Linked DNA regions of Stegostoma tigrinum. The protein of the gene in region 1 purifies or fractionates together with the protein of each later gene. This does not show direct contact. Links are inferred from orthologs where the notes say so. Each region holds a gene or a part of one and is shown on either strand. Other genes may lie near its edges.

What was found. The genes of interacting proteins can lie anywhere in the genome.
Region 2: the proteins of cAMP-dependent protein kinase type I-alpha regulatory subunit (region 1) and plk1 purify together in Homo sapiens (affinity purification with mass spectrometry; 4 studies listed by BioGRID and IntAct, with this or other methods). This does not show direct contact. The link is inferred for Stegostoma tigrinum from reciprocal best matches to the Homo sapiens genes PRKAR1A and PLK1.

Annotation. Positions count from the first base shown.
Region 1 is NC_081375.1:22,779,356-22,786,728, reverse strand, and holds the start of cAMP-dependent protein kinase type I-alpha regulatory subunit, read right to left. Parts: upstream 3,018-7,373; 5' UTR 2,816-3,017; intron 2,728-2,815; 5' UTR 2,699-2,727; coding exon 2,528-2,698; intron 1-2,527. UniProt on the Homo sapiens protein: Regulatory subunit of the cAMP-dependent protein kinases involved in cAMP signaling in cells.
Region 2 is NC_081376.1:22,425,759-22,432,797, reverse strand, and holds the start of plk1 (serine/threonine-protein kinase PLK1), read right to left. Parts: upstream 3,016-7,039; 5' UTR 2,846-3,015; coding exon 2,477-2,845; intron 1,728-2,476; coding exon 1,559-1,727; intron 1-1,558. UniProt on the Homo sapiens protein: Serine/threonine-protein kinase that performs several important functions throughout M phase of the cell cycle, including the regulation of centrosome maturation and spindle assembly, the removal of cohesins from chromosome arms, the inactivation of anaphase-promoting complex/cyclosome (APC/C) inhibitors, and the regulation of mitotic exit and cytokinesis.

The DNA of each region.
Region 1 (7,373 bases):
ACTGTGAATGGACTATAATGGTTCAAGAAGGCAGTTCATCATGACTTTCTAAAAAGAGTATTTATAGATGGCCAATAAGCATTAACTTACAAATGACACCCACATTCTATGAGCACATTTTTAAAAAAACATATCTATACTTGGGATTTGTCTTCCAATTAGCAATGGATGTCAAGTACAAGAATTACTCCTCTGCAACAACTTATTTTGCAAACTTCCAGTTCAGTGTCATTCTGAAGTAATTCAGTTTTTAAATGTTTGCCTTGGCTTATCTTTCTCAGTCTCTCAAATCTTTAGCACCAGTCAAAATGTTATTTTTTTTAAAAAGCAATATGCCAAAAATAAACACTCTTTTGCTGGTACAAATAAAAAGTATTAAAGCCTCCCTCTTGACTCAATTCAATTCTTGAGAAATCAGCTTCACTGCCCCTTTTGCTACAATCATGTCCTTTGGAGCTATAGTGTTCAAAAATTATCAGGATATACTAAGCCAACCTCAGTAATACATTATAATGCCCTTAATACTGAACCCCACTCCTAGTTGGTGCTGCTGGCTACATACTAAAAATGGGAATTTCTGAAGATTCCCCAATGATTTTGTTCAATTTTGAATTGAATGTTTATTCCTTTAGAATTCCCCAAAATTTTAAATCTAAAATTTTAAGTAATTTAAAATTATTTTGTCATGCTAACTTTGTTCATCAATTCTAATAACTCCCAGCATTTTTAACAAATTTGACCTACTTTATAATCAGCTAACCTATCTGCAAACAAACTGTTCTTGAAAGAAAAACAACTAGTCAGAAGTGGCACTGTTTTTAATTAGATTTATAAACAAATCATTGTCAATTTAATCAATCTTCATCTATCCACCAAGTGACATCTAGTTCAATCGTAAAACAGGTAAATGACTAAGCAATGTTAAAACTAATGTAATCCGAACTTTTGCTAAAAGCAGCTCAATATTCTATACATGACAATCACACTACACAGGTTACAAGTCATGTATCAATTGTCAAACGTGTTTGATTTTGTCCAGAACCCAAAGTAAAAAAATACAAATTATGTACTTCCCTATCAACTGAAATGATGATATTTTAAACAAGCGAATTTTACTGGCCAGTAATATTTAACAGATTTTTCTACATGTCTGAAATTATACTGGGTCACTTTTTAAGAGGCTTCAGAATTTCATTCCCTTCACAAAGCTTTAATTCTTGCAGAAACATTGCTGATAACATTGTGCACAAAATATATAAAAGAACCCACTTATTTGATTATTACTTCCTTCCCTACTTTTGAAGAAACAAAGTATTTTCACAAAGTATGCAAAGCTCTGCCACCCACAGCCAAAGTGCTTATGCCATCTTTAAAGAAAAACCAACGTAGTCCATATGATAATGATACAGCCATAGTACCAAGTTTCAGGATTTTGACTCAGTGATGAAGACAGACTGGTATACATCCAAGTCAGAACAAAGCACGATTTAGAGTGGTGAATGTTTACAACGATGATGGGATGTTTTGTGCATCATTGAGCTCCAAGTGTTTTAACAGGCACATTCATATCGACATGCAGAGTATTCCATACAGCTCCTGATTTATGCCTTATAGGTGGTAGAAAGATTACAGAGTGAAATATTGCTTTCGGTGAATAACAACACTTCGCATCACTGAAGTAATATCATTCTCTTGTTAGTGAAGAATTATGAATTAAGTACAATTTACTATTACTCATGCAATCTTTATTCAGTCATAATCAGATGACAAGGGGCAATATATAGATCCGAAATTAAATGGAAACCTTGGAGGCCACACTATGTGCATTTTAGTGGGGGGGAAAGAGGGAGGGAAGAGAGAACAGAAAAGACAGGAAGAAATTTACTGGATAGACAAAAGAATGTGAATACATCTAATTACTTCATTCAAATTCTGGGAAATCACAAGATGATGCAAAGTGATTTCACATTTCTAGCAACCCACGATTTACCTAAAGCGTTCTGACGTCAATGTTGCAGTCACCAATGGCCCTCGAGTGTCACTAGTATTTGGAGCAAAACTGCAGCCATGAGCATAGACTATAGGAAACTGATTACCTTGAATGTCCAATACTTTTGCACCAAGCTAAACAGGTGATTTCTCTGTCCGAAAAAGACTTTTTACATTAATCTTTTTCAGCGCGCGGGTACTCACCTTCATGAAACCGAGAATGTTGTTAACAATCAAAGGACTCACTGATAATATCTTAACAAGTGCTTACATTCTGCTTGGCTTTGCTTTTGTCTCTGGTCCGTTAACTGCTTAATAACATATGCACCAAACACGAACAAAACTCTTTTCTAGGTCAGCACTAAAACGTCGGCCTGCCACGTTCGCCATCAACCAACTACAGAAGCTTGATCATACACGAAGCAAAAAAAGTCAAACTGTCCTTTAATCGTCAACCACCACACGCCCCAAACAAAATAAACAAGGCTACTCTCTCCTTTCCTTTGAGAAAATGAAACCTGCTGCCCTCTCAACTCACTTTCTCGAGTTTCTCGAAGTATTCCCTGAGGTAGGTGATGGGTTTCTCGGGCCTGGCGATGCAGAGCTGAACGATGCAGTCCTTGAGGACCTGCTGGATGTTGTGCTTGTGGACATACTGCTCACACTCTCGCAGGCTGCGCTCTTCTTCCCCGCTCCCCGCGGCCGCCATCTTAGCCACCCAGTTAACGCTTCAGAAGCCTGGAGGAATGATCGACAGCGAGTTAACTCGGCGCCGAGAGACCACTCGCCGCCTACTCCTCCAATCCACCCCCTTCCTCTAACCTACCCACCCCACAGAAAACGAAGTCGACAGTCGGAGCGGGAGGGCGATGGGCCTGTCTTTTCCGCCCCCCCCCCCACCGATCCTAGGGGCGACAGGCTGAACAAGTTTATCCGTAGGAACAGGGGCCTGTTAGAAAGCGACTGCGGCAGGACGAGTTTCCTCAGTCACTGTCACCTCCACCGGAAGGCAGCCGCGCCGCTGACGTCAATGCGCCTCGCTCTCAGCCGCGGTGGGGGAGGGGAGGCGGAAACCACAGGCCTGTGGAAATGGTATGTGCAGTGTGTTGTATGCACATACACGGGACACCACACTTGTAACGCGCACATTCCATGTTTACACGCTGCACTCAAGCATTCACTCTGTACCCTCACAGAACCAACGTGCTGCTACCCCTGCACGTCTCTCACTGTTTACAAATTTCACGAGGTTGGGGATAAACTGACACACGCACCGCGTAGGTATTTAAGCAAGCGTAGGCCCTTGAGCCACTCTTGTACACCATTCAAGGACATCACGGCGGATATGTCACTGGATTCTTCAAATGCCCACCTTCAACCCACACAGTCGATTAACAAAAACGTGTCAGGCTCAGATTTTAAACTAACAAATAAAGGAGCAACAGTTGTCACTTGCGAGGAAGAGACTTCTCCCATCTCTCGCAGTCCTGAAAGGTCAGATTCGTTTTCAGTTGAAGCCCCCGATGCGACACTTTCCGACCATAGAAAGTCTTTCTTTCTTCACTGTAATATCTTGAAAATTTCAATCAGTCATAGCATAACAAGGTGTAGGAACACAAGTTCATTCAGCCCAAGTCAGCTCTGTCAGTTCGGTGATGACTGATCTCATAATCCTGAACTCCAGTTTTCTGCCTTTTCCCCTATAACACTTGACACTCTTACTAATTAAAACGCTATCTCAGCCTTGAATATACTTAATGACCCAGCCTCAATGGCCTCTACAGTAAAGAATTCCACTGAATCATTACACTCAGAGAAGAAATTCTTCGTCATCTATGTTTTAAATGTGTGACCCCTTATTCTGAGGTTAAATGCTCTTGTTCTCGACTGTCTCGGGGCAAACAACCTTCCTGGACCTATACTGTCAAGTCCCCTAAGAATCTTGTAAATTTTAATAAGGTTGCCACTCATTCTTCTACATTGCAAAGAGTACAGGCTTAACCCGAACGGTCCTTTGGGAAATGATTTCTAGATATCCATATCAAAAATTAACATACATTGACATTTTCTTTCAATAGATATTTCACATCCAATGAATTAGTCACCTCTTCATAAATTACTAGATCATCAAGCATAATATATCCATTATAAAGCCATGCTGCTGTGGTCAATCAGCTGAAAATTTTGAAGGTGTTCAGTCATCATCCTTAACAGCTGACAAGTAATTTTGAGCCAATGTATTTAGGCTAACTGACCTATAGTTCCCTGGTTTCCCTCTCATAAATCTAATTTTACAGTCCAAAAATAGGACATCCTAAAGCGGTTTACAAGCTGAAATATTGGGATCATGAACTCCAATGCAGAAAGACAGTTGTGGAGTTCTGACCAAGTTATGACAACTGTACACATGTGCTCCAGTTCCAATAGTTCTTCCTAAGGAGTCGCAAAAACATTCAGGACATAAAAAAAGAGATCACAGGAAAAGAAAGATTGGTAAGCATTGATCTAAAGAAGCAGAAATTGAAGACCATAAGACATAGGAGTGGAAGTAAGGCCATTCAGCCCATCGAGTCCACTCTGCCATTTAATCACGGCTGATGGGCATTTCAACTCCACTTCCCTGCATTCCCCCCGTAGCCCTTAATTCCTTGTGAGATCAAGAATTTATCAATCTCTGCCTTGAAGACATTTAACATCCCAGCCTCCACTGCGCTCCATGGCAATGAATTCCACAGGCCCATCACTCTCTGGCTGAAGAAATGTCTCCTCATTTCCGTTTTAAATTTACCCCCTCTAGTTCTAAGGCTGTACCCATGGGTCCTAGTCTCCCCATCTAACGGAAACAACTTCCCAGCGTCCACCCTTTCTAAGCCATACACTATCTTATAAGTTTCTATTAGATCTCCCCTCAACCTTCTAAATTCTAATGAATACAATCCCAGGATCCTCAGCTGTTCATCATTACGTTAAACCTACCATTCCAGGGATCATCCGTGTGAATCTCCGCTGGACACGCTCCAGTGCCAGTATGTCCTTCCTGAGGTGTGGGGCCCAAAATTGAGAGAATTTTAGAAAACTGTTGGTGGGGCATTTGCAATGTCCTCACCTACTTCACAGAATCAGAGAATTGTTAAAGCGCTGAAAGCAGGCATTCAGTCCATCATGTCAGCACCTACTCTTCAAAATACTAGATAAGAATTTCATTTAAAACCCTGGGATAGAAATTATCTGGTGTAGTGATTGTAATCAGCCAGCTGGTCCTTATAGAATATGACTTCTCTGATCGGGCTGTTAATCTGGTCCAATCAGAGAGGCGTAGCTGACAGATAAGAACCTGAATATCAGACATCCTATTCACTCAGGGCAAATTCTGAGGAATCTGGATCTGTCTCAAGGGTTCTCCATGTGTAATTAAAAGATGACTTAGTGATGGGATACTGATAGCTGTGGAGTTATTTCATTATTTTATTTGATCTATTATTTTCTTCATTACTGTTATTTTACTTACACTGTCTTTCTCATAACGCAAATGATTTTAAAAAGTGCTGGTTTTGGTAGGAGTAAATTACTGCAGGTGCTGGAATCTATACTGAAAACAAAAAATGCTGGAGATCACAGCAGATCAGGCAGCATACATGGGGAGACAGCAAACTAATGTTTCGCATCTAGATGACCCTTCAGCAGAGCTGCTGTGAAGTGTGAAGGGAGCAGCATTTATGCAATGTTTGTGGGATGGTGTTTGCAGTGCTGAGGAAGAAAGGGTATTGATAGTACAAATTAAGTGGTTGGAATGTGAGAATGGCTGAACAATGGTGTGTCTAACTGCCAGGCTTTACAATGTTTTGGACTTAGTATTGAGTTAAACACCTTCTCTGATGAAGGGTCTAGGCCCGAAACGTCAGTTTTTGTGCTCCTGAGATGCTGCTTGGCCTACTGTGTTCATCCCTCTTCACACTCTTTCAGATTGAGAACCCACTTCCATTCCTTTAATTCTTTTAATTTTACATTATTTGTGACCATGTCCTCTCTCCCATCCCCCGACTCCAGTGGACTGTTTGTTTTTCCAGTCTGCCAGCAAGAGACAACTTCAATCTGCCATTCTCACATTCAGATCACTTAATCTGGATTATCAGCACCCTTTCTTCCCCCAGCACTCCACATCGTCCCCTTCCCCCCACCTAATGCATAGATGCTGTCCTGTCCACCCTTCACATCAACTCTGCAGAAAAGTCATCTCGACACAAAACGTTGGCTTGCTCTCACCATGGATGCTACCTGACCCGCTGTGATCTCCAGCATTTTTTGTTTTCAATGCTGTTTTGGTATCCCTTGCAAATTTCTTTTCATACAGTATTTTGTAAATTTTACAATTGATTTTGCCACTCTTTGCTATTCCTAAAAGCTCTTCCAATCAACATGATTTTTTTTTGCATTCCTGTCTTTAGTTTTCTTTCAGTTTTATGTTGTCTTTTGCCATTTGAGCTTCATATCCCTTAGGAATATAAACTGGTTCTATATGACATTAAGTTTTTTTTTGAATGCGATTGTTCTGTCTTTCTAAATATTTAACAAATTTGCCCAATTTACAGGACCTTTGGGACAAGCTTATTCAGGTCCTGAGTCCACACCTACCGCTCCTAGCCCAGCCAGCTCACTGCTGAGTTGGCATGACACATTCCTCCATTGCGTCGTTGACCCAGAGAGAGAAAAACACATTAAAAAAAACAGTAATACTTGGAAATGAATACATTGATCATACCGGAGCACTGTTCCGAGGTACACAAAACAAGTTAAATCAGTATGCGTCATCTACAAAATTAAAAGAAAGATCTGCAGATGCTGAACAGCTGAAACAAAAACAGAAATTGCTGAAGAAACCCAGTTGTTTTGGTAGTATCTGTGGTGAAAAAGCTTTCTCTCCACAAATGCTGCCAGACTTTCTGAGTTTCTCCAGTAATTGCTGTTTTTGCATCAGATTTTACTGCAGTGTTTCCTTTTGGGCAGGACCAGATTTTTGAAGAGTGTGGTTCACAGTGAATCAGATGTGACACGAACAATAGTCTGCATGAAGGAATTTCACTAGATAAGCTAATAAGTTCCTCCTTAGGCCACCTTGCCAAGGTAATGATCACCAAACATCTTGCATGGCCACTCATGATTTCCAACACTAAGTGAAATCACCAAACACTCCACTTAGCTCCTCATTTCTCATTGCCAAAGTATAGCACTTCCAAGTTCAAATAATACTGTATACCAAAATATCTCACACCAAGTGCCATTCAATCATACTTGTCTATGACAAATAGCCTGCAACTTTAAGTTCAGATCTTCATGTTTAAATAAAGGCTCTGCCCTCCCCATGTCTGAAATAGCTAATTATGCCA
Region 2 (7,039 bases), on another chromosome or scaffold:
CAACAAATCCAGGGAGGTTTGGGCCAGCTCTTGAGTTTTATAGTCAGGAATGGGATACAATAATCTAGAAAAATTAAGCTAGCGTTTAACTGCTCAACTTCTCTATTCATCTTCTGTTAAAATGAAGACGCACAGGGCAGCATAGTAGCTCAGTGGTCAGCTCTGCTTCCTCACAGCACCAGGGGCCTGGGTTCAATGCCACTTTCAGTCTGTGTGGAGTTTGCACATTCGCCCAGTGTCTGTGCAAGTTTCCTCTGCGTGCTCTGGTTTCCGCCCACAGTCCAAAGATGGTCAAACTACCTAACATGCACGGGGGAAATGCAGGGTTACAGGGATAGGGTAGGCAAATGGCTTTGGGTGGGATACTTTCTGAAGGGTCAGTGTGGACCTGTTGGGTCAAATGGCCCATTTCCTCACTGTAGGGATTCTAGTTTCATACGATGCACTTCTGTTGCAAAACTAAGTGTCTCCATCAGATCAGCTGAGGAGTTGCAGTAGAGGTTTAATTTGGATAAATAAATGTGAGGTGCTGGTGCTGGTAAGGCAAATCAGGGCAGGTCAGTTGTACACCTAATGGTAAAGCCCTTTTGAGAGTATTGCCAAACAGAGAGGCCTTGGGTTGAAGGCTCATAGCATAGAAGGTGGAGTTGCAGGTAAACCAGGTAGCGAAGGTAGAGTTTGGTACACTTGCCTTATCAGTCAGTGCAATGAATATCGGAGTTGGGAAGGTCATGTTGCGGCTGTACAGGATATTGGTGAGGCCACTGTTGGAATACTGGTCTCCGTGATAGAGGAAAGGGATCGTTCAGAAAAGATTTACAAGAATGTTGTTGGGTTCAGAGGGTTTGAGCTAGAGGAAGAGGCTGAATGGACTGGAGTTTTCATCCCCCAACCTGGACATTGGAACCTGAGGAATGACCTTATAGGAGATTTATAAAATCATGAGGGGCACAGATATAGTGAATCGCCAAGGTCTTCCCCCCCGCAAGGTATAGGAGTCCTAGATTGGAAGGCATAGGTTTATGGTGAGAGGGGAAAGATTTAAAAAGGGACCTATGGGGCAACTTTTTTTCCACACAGAAGGTGATGTGTGTATGGAATGAGCTGCCAGCAGTAGTAGTGGAGGCCGTCATAATTACAGCATTTCAAAGGCATCTGGTTGGGTGTATGAATAGGAAGGGTTTAGAGAGATATTGCCAAATGGGACTAGACCTATTTACGATATCTGGTTGGCATGGCTGGGTTGGACCGAACGGTCTGCTTCCGTGCTGTACAGCTCTATGACTAAGTGACTGTTGGCTTCATGAACTGGCTAAAGACTATCGACAACCGACTGCAATGCTTTACCTATTTAACAATGAACACAGCAGGCCAAGCAGCATCTCAGGAGCACAAAAGCTGACGTTTCGTGCCTAGACCCTTCAAGGTTCTAGGCACGAAACGTCAGCTTTTGCGCTCCTGAGATGCTGCTTGGCCTGCTGTGTTCATCCAGCTCCACACTTTGTTATCTTGGATTCTCCAGCATCTGCAGTTCCCATTATCTCTTATCATGCTTTACCTATTTTCACTTCCATATCATCATTGAGGAAAAGATTGCCAAGCTTGAGATCTCGATGAATAACGTTGTTATCGTGCAGATATTGGCTGCCCAGGATGACTTGCTTCAGGTAATACCGGGCCTCGGGCTCAGTGACAGCCTTCCGCCTCTTGTGCAATTCTAGTAAAGACTGAATGTGACAATTAACTTGTGATCGGTATTAAAAGAAAACCAGTTCACTTTATAAACAAAATTAAAGAAAAAAACAGTATTGAACTTTTGGCCGCAGCCGATCAGTAACACAAGGCAGTGCCAGCTGACAGAGGAGAGGAGAATCACCAGCTAGACTTAGGGTAGCAACTGTGGCTTTACCGAACCATTTGAGGAATTAAACAGAGTGAGGAGTGGAGATGGGAATAGCACGAAACAGGATCAGACCAACCAGGGGCTGCTCCTTCTGGCTCGCAAGGCCGAAGCTCCGCCTTCTTTAATACGAGGCACCCGCCAGCCAACCGGCTCCGAGCTGCCGCAATTTTAAATACAAACCCCATTTCAACTAAAAAAGACAGCAGCGGGCAGCCCTTCAACCTGGATGGGGGGGGGGGGGGGGAAGAGAACGGACAGGCTGAGCGCTGCCCAGGCCCAGGGCCCTGAGCTGCTGTACCCGGTCTGACAGTGTCCAGTTCCCCCACCTGATCGGTGCCACTTATGGGTGAGACCCTCCCCCAGCCCCAAATTGTTACAGTTGGTTCCAATGGGAGAACGCTCCGACTCGGCTCCATTCACCGGGATCCTTTGTCCCGCAGCTCTTCCCTTCCTCCGCTTACAACCGTCGATCCCGGGGGGAAGAGAGGGGGTGGGGGACGCGGCGGTCAGTATAAACCGGTGCCAGCAGCTCCCGTCAATTCTCCCCCCCACTCCTCAACCCGAGGCACTCACCCTCCGCCTGCATAGCTCCAGGACAACGTAGACGAAGTCATCGTCCTCGAAGAAGCCGTGGAAGCCCACCACGTTGGCGTGATTGAGGCTCTTGTGTATGGAGATCTCCATGGACATCTTCTCCCTCTGGTGCGGCTTCATCAGCAGCGTCTTGGGCACGATCTTCCCGGCGAACACCTCGTTGGTGTCCATGTCGGAGATCTCGTAACACTTGGCGAACCCCCCTTTGCCCAAGAAACGGCCCCGCACGTACCTCTTCATGGTCTTGGGGTTCACCAGGATGTCGGGGATCTCCTTGGCCACCGGAGCGACGACCGACGGGGCCGCAGACCCCGGCTTGGCGGACGGTTTACCGGCCACCGTGGTCATTATTTGACCGGTTCACAGTGCAGACAGGGGGAATGGGGAGAATGGAGTGCCAAATCGAAGTTGAGCAGGGTCTTCTCCGAGTCTGGTTAAAAAGTCGCTGCAAACCGTGTCCGTCCCAGGCCAGATGCTCGGGGGCTCTGATTCAAATCTGGAGCGTCGACAGTTAGCAAGCCGTGCGCCGCTCCTGATTGGCCAATTGTATTTAAATAGAACCCGAGGGCCCGGCTGAATGCCGGGAAAGAACGGTTTAAATGCACCGTGCCGGCTGCTTGGTGACTACGCTGAATGACAGCACCTTCCACCAATCACAGCCGACACCCCCAACCTGTCGGTTCGTTTCTGAGCAACGGAAGGAAAGGGCTGGGATTCGAGCTGCGACCCCCACCCCAATCCCTCCACGTTCTCAAAGCTACCCAAGCATCTCAGTCTGCCCCAGGCTTCTGAAGGCATTGATTGGGTGTAGGACTTCCAAAGTTACTGCTCAGTTGGGAACATCCTTGCCTGAGAGCCTTAAACAAAATAAAATTAGATTAAATGCCTTAAATCGGGTGCTTGTGCACTCCACCTTAGAGGCTCTGGAGCTATAATCCAGACTGACATTGACAGAGATGCTGTTTTACAGATGCGATTTTAAATAGAAACCCTGTCTACTCTCTCAAGCGGACATTCTGGGATTCACCTGGTTCTTTTCCTAACTATTGTGAGTTACATGCATCCTTCCACTTCCACACGATTAGCTCTGATGACCCTCAAAAATCTATTTACACCCCCTTCTTGCCTACATGTTCTCTTTTAGCAGCATCTTCAGAAAACAGGGTTACTTACTAATGCTGACGATGTCCAGCTCTAAGTTGCTAGCACTTTGTTGATTCCTGTATTTCCAATTTGTCAAATTCCATAACTGACATCCAGTAAAGTACAGGTAGAAATTTCCTCCTATTAAATATTGGGGACACAAAAACTCAAACGTAGAAATTAAAAGTTGATTGTATTAGTTTTAAACACATTAATAGGAAAAACTGATTAGCAAGTTTGAGACTCTAGGACTGGTGGCATAGAAAGAAAACTTGGAGGCAGACTTTCAGAAATTACATTAGGAAATACTTCTCACATTAAAGGTAGTAGCAAAACTCTCTTCTACATCTAGCAATCAATACTAAATTAATTTATAATTTCAAAACCGAGATACAGTTTGTCTAAGTGGCAGAGTAGCCTGGGTTTGGATTTGCCCACATGGGACTTTCAAACATTTTCACAATCTTTCCTCAATCTGTTTTATTTGCTCCCTGCCCCCAATTCCTCTTCCCGCTCATGTCTGAGCCTTGGAATTTTTGACCTCTGAAACCCTTATTCACGCCTTCATTACCTCTAGATTCAACAATTCCTGCATACTTTTGGTTGGCCTCCCACATTCTACCCTTGCAACAACTTAAATTCACCAAAATCTCTGCTGTTTGTGTCCTTAATTGCAACAAGTCTGTTTAGCTAATACCTTGTCTTTGCTGACCTAAACTATTTTCTGGTCCAGTAAAGCATTAAATTAAAAGAAATCTTATCTTTATTTACAGATCCTCAATTGCATTGTTCAGCCCATCTTTATAATCTCTGCCAATCCCGTAACTCTCCAACAGACCTGTATTCATCTAAGGTAGGCTGAGGAATGGCTTGATTTTAATTGTTCCATTCTTAACTGTCCTTTGTCATCTTATCAAAGGTATGATATCAATGTAAGTACGTTAAAAAATGGGATGTGGGTATTGCTGGTTAGGGCAACATTTATTGCCCATCCCCAAGAGACAGTTAAAAAATCAATCACATTGCTGTGAGCCTGGAGTCACATGGGCCATACTAAGTAAGGATGGCAGTTTCCTTTCCTAAAGCATATTAGCCCAAATCGGTTTTGCCAAAACAGTGACATAGTCATCAATTGACTCTCAATTCTGGATTTTTATTAATTTCAATTTGCACGATCTACCATGGCAAGATTCTAACCCAGTTCCTCAAAACATCATCTGTCTCTCTGGGTTAATAGTCTAGGGCTAATGCCATTAGGTTGTTACCACTCCGTTATGCTCAGTTTTGGTCATTTTATTTAAGCAGGGACACTATCGCTTTGGAGGCAGTTCAGAGAAGATTCACTTGGCTAATTTCTGGTCTAAAGGAACTTGTCATGAGGAGAGACTGTGTAAGTTGGTTTGAATGCATTATAGTTTTGAAGAATGAGACACATCTTTTTGAAACTTCTAACACTACAGGAACATTGCAAGGTAGAAGCTGAAATAATGTTTCCTAAGTGTGTCGTTTCAAAACAAGGGCTCACCTATTTAACGCAGAAGTAAGATAATATAATTTATTTCAATGCTGTTAACATTTGGAATCCTCTCCCCAACGAGTATTTTTCAAGGCTTAGTTAGATCGTTGGTTGACAAGGGATCAAAAATTATGGGAGAGGGGCAGCAGAGTGAAGATATGTCTATATTAGACAACCAATAATCTTCCTGAGAGACACAGCAGGCTTGAGGGGACTAACGGCCTACTCTACCCGTATTTCTTACATCCTGAAGGCAGGTGACAGTTTGGTCTGTACCAAGAATGGGGCATACTAAGATGGTGTTTTGATCCTTACTGAGGATACAGCATGTTAAGGTAATGCTTACTGCACAGAATGGGTAAGGCAGGTTAGGATCATGCAAGATCAACTTCAGTTTCCTTTGCTCATTAAAGATCTCTTAGGATACAGGTTAGGTTGTTTCTCTAACCTGTCTGGCTGCCACTCAGTCTGAGGCAAATTTTGCCAAAAAAAAACAAAAAACAAAAAAACCCAACAGATAGCCCACACAGAGCCACTCAGATCAATTTAACACACAGACTGGAACATCTTTAAGTCAGTACTGTTTGATTTATTGGCTCCGAGAAATTAGTTGGTACCAAAAGGGTCCTGAAAAACACTCTGGGTAGCCACACCACATAGATGTAGCAACTCACCACCACCTTTCCAAGTGCAATTTGGGATGGCAAAAAAAATCTGGTCAAGCCAGCAAAATGCTGCATTATGTGAAAGAACAAGAAAAACTGAATAGGAGAGAATAAAATAATGAGCTATTCATTGAATAATGATCAAAGGTGCAATATAAACAGAGCAGTATACTGTCAGAAGTGCCATTTTTCAGATAATGTAATTAACTGAAGCAAATATTTACACTTGCATGCCATTACTTGAAGAAAAACAAAGTGTCATGGTCATCACTAGTAAATATCAACTACACTTACAGCTTACATGTAGTTTTCAACACAGCAAGTTATTGCATTCAAAAGCAAAATATTTTATTTTACATTGTTTCAGAATTGTAGTTTGCCATATTATCGAACCCTACACTCCTTCAGCTATGGCTTCCTACACATTGTCTAAACTTATCACCTACCAACAGTGTGGACCCCAACTCCTGAAATCTCTCCCCAAACTTTTTTAATTTCCACAAAAAGTTGTTAAAAGTAGGTTTTGAGCCATCTAGTTCAATACTTTATGTCCTTGTTGTCAACTTAGATTCAGTTACTGAAGTGTTTTGAGATTTTACTGTAGTAAAAGGTAGTATAAAAGATCATTACTTAAGATTTGGCCTGCTCAATTCCCCTTATCCTCTGGGTGGTTCTCTTGGCTCACTGAGGGAGCATATGAAACACGGCAAGATGTAAGACTACTCCAACTGTGGCCTGGTCATGCTGCACAGTCATCACACTGGGAAGACTCCCTTGTCAACCAAGAATACAACTAAGCCTTGGTAAATACTCACAATGGAAAGGATTCCAAAACAGCCAGAATAGCACACTCAAGCAGCCTATCTTTTAAAAATTTCCACTGGCACCAGCAGCAGTAACTGAGGTTAAACAGAATAGCCGTTGGGAGACAAGGTCAAGAAAAAAAAAATATTCAAACTTCGTGCTTCTACTGCAGCGACTTTCTCAATGTAATACAAATATTTCTTTCATAGTTAGTTGAAAAATACGTAAATATTTGAGAATGAAAAAAGAAGCAGCAGGATAATTGGAAAAATGGAACTGCTTTTGTAGAGAATTGTCACTGACACAGTGAGCTGAATAGCCTACTTCTGTGTTGTAAAGTTGTGATTCTAAAGCTTGCTGGATTGAGTGTTTACAGCCTATTATAGATTGTACATCTTTCCCCCACCTATCCTT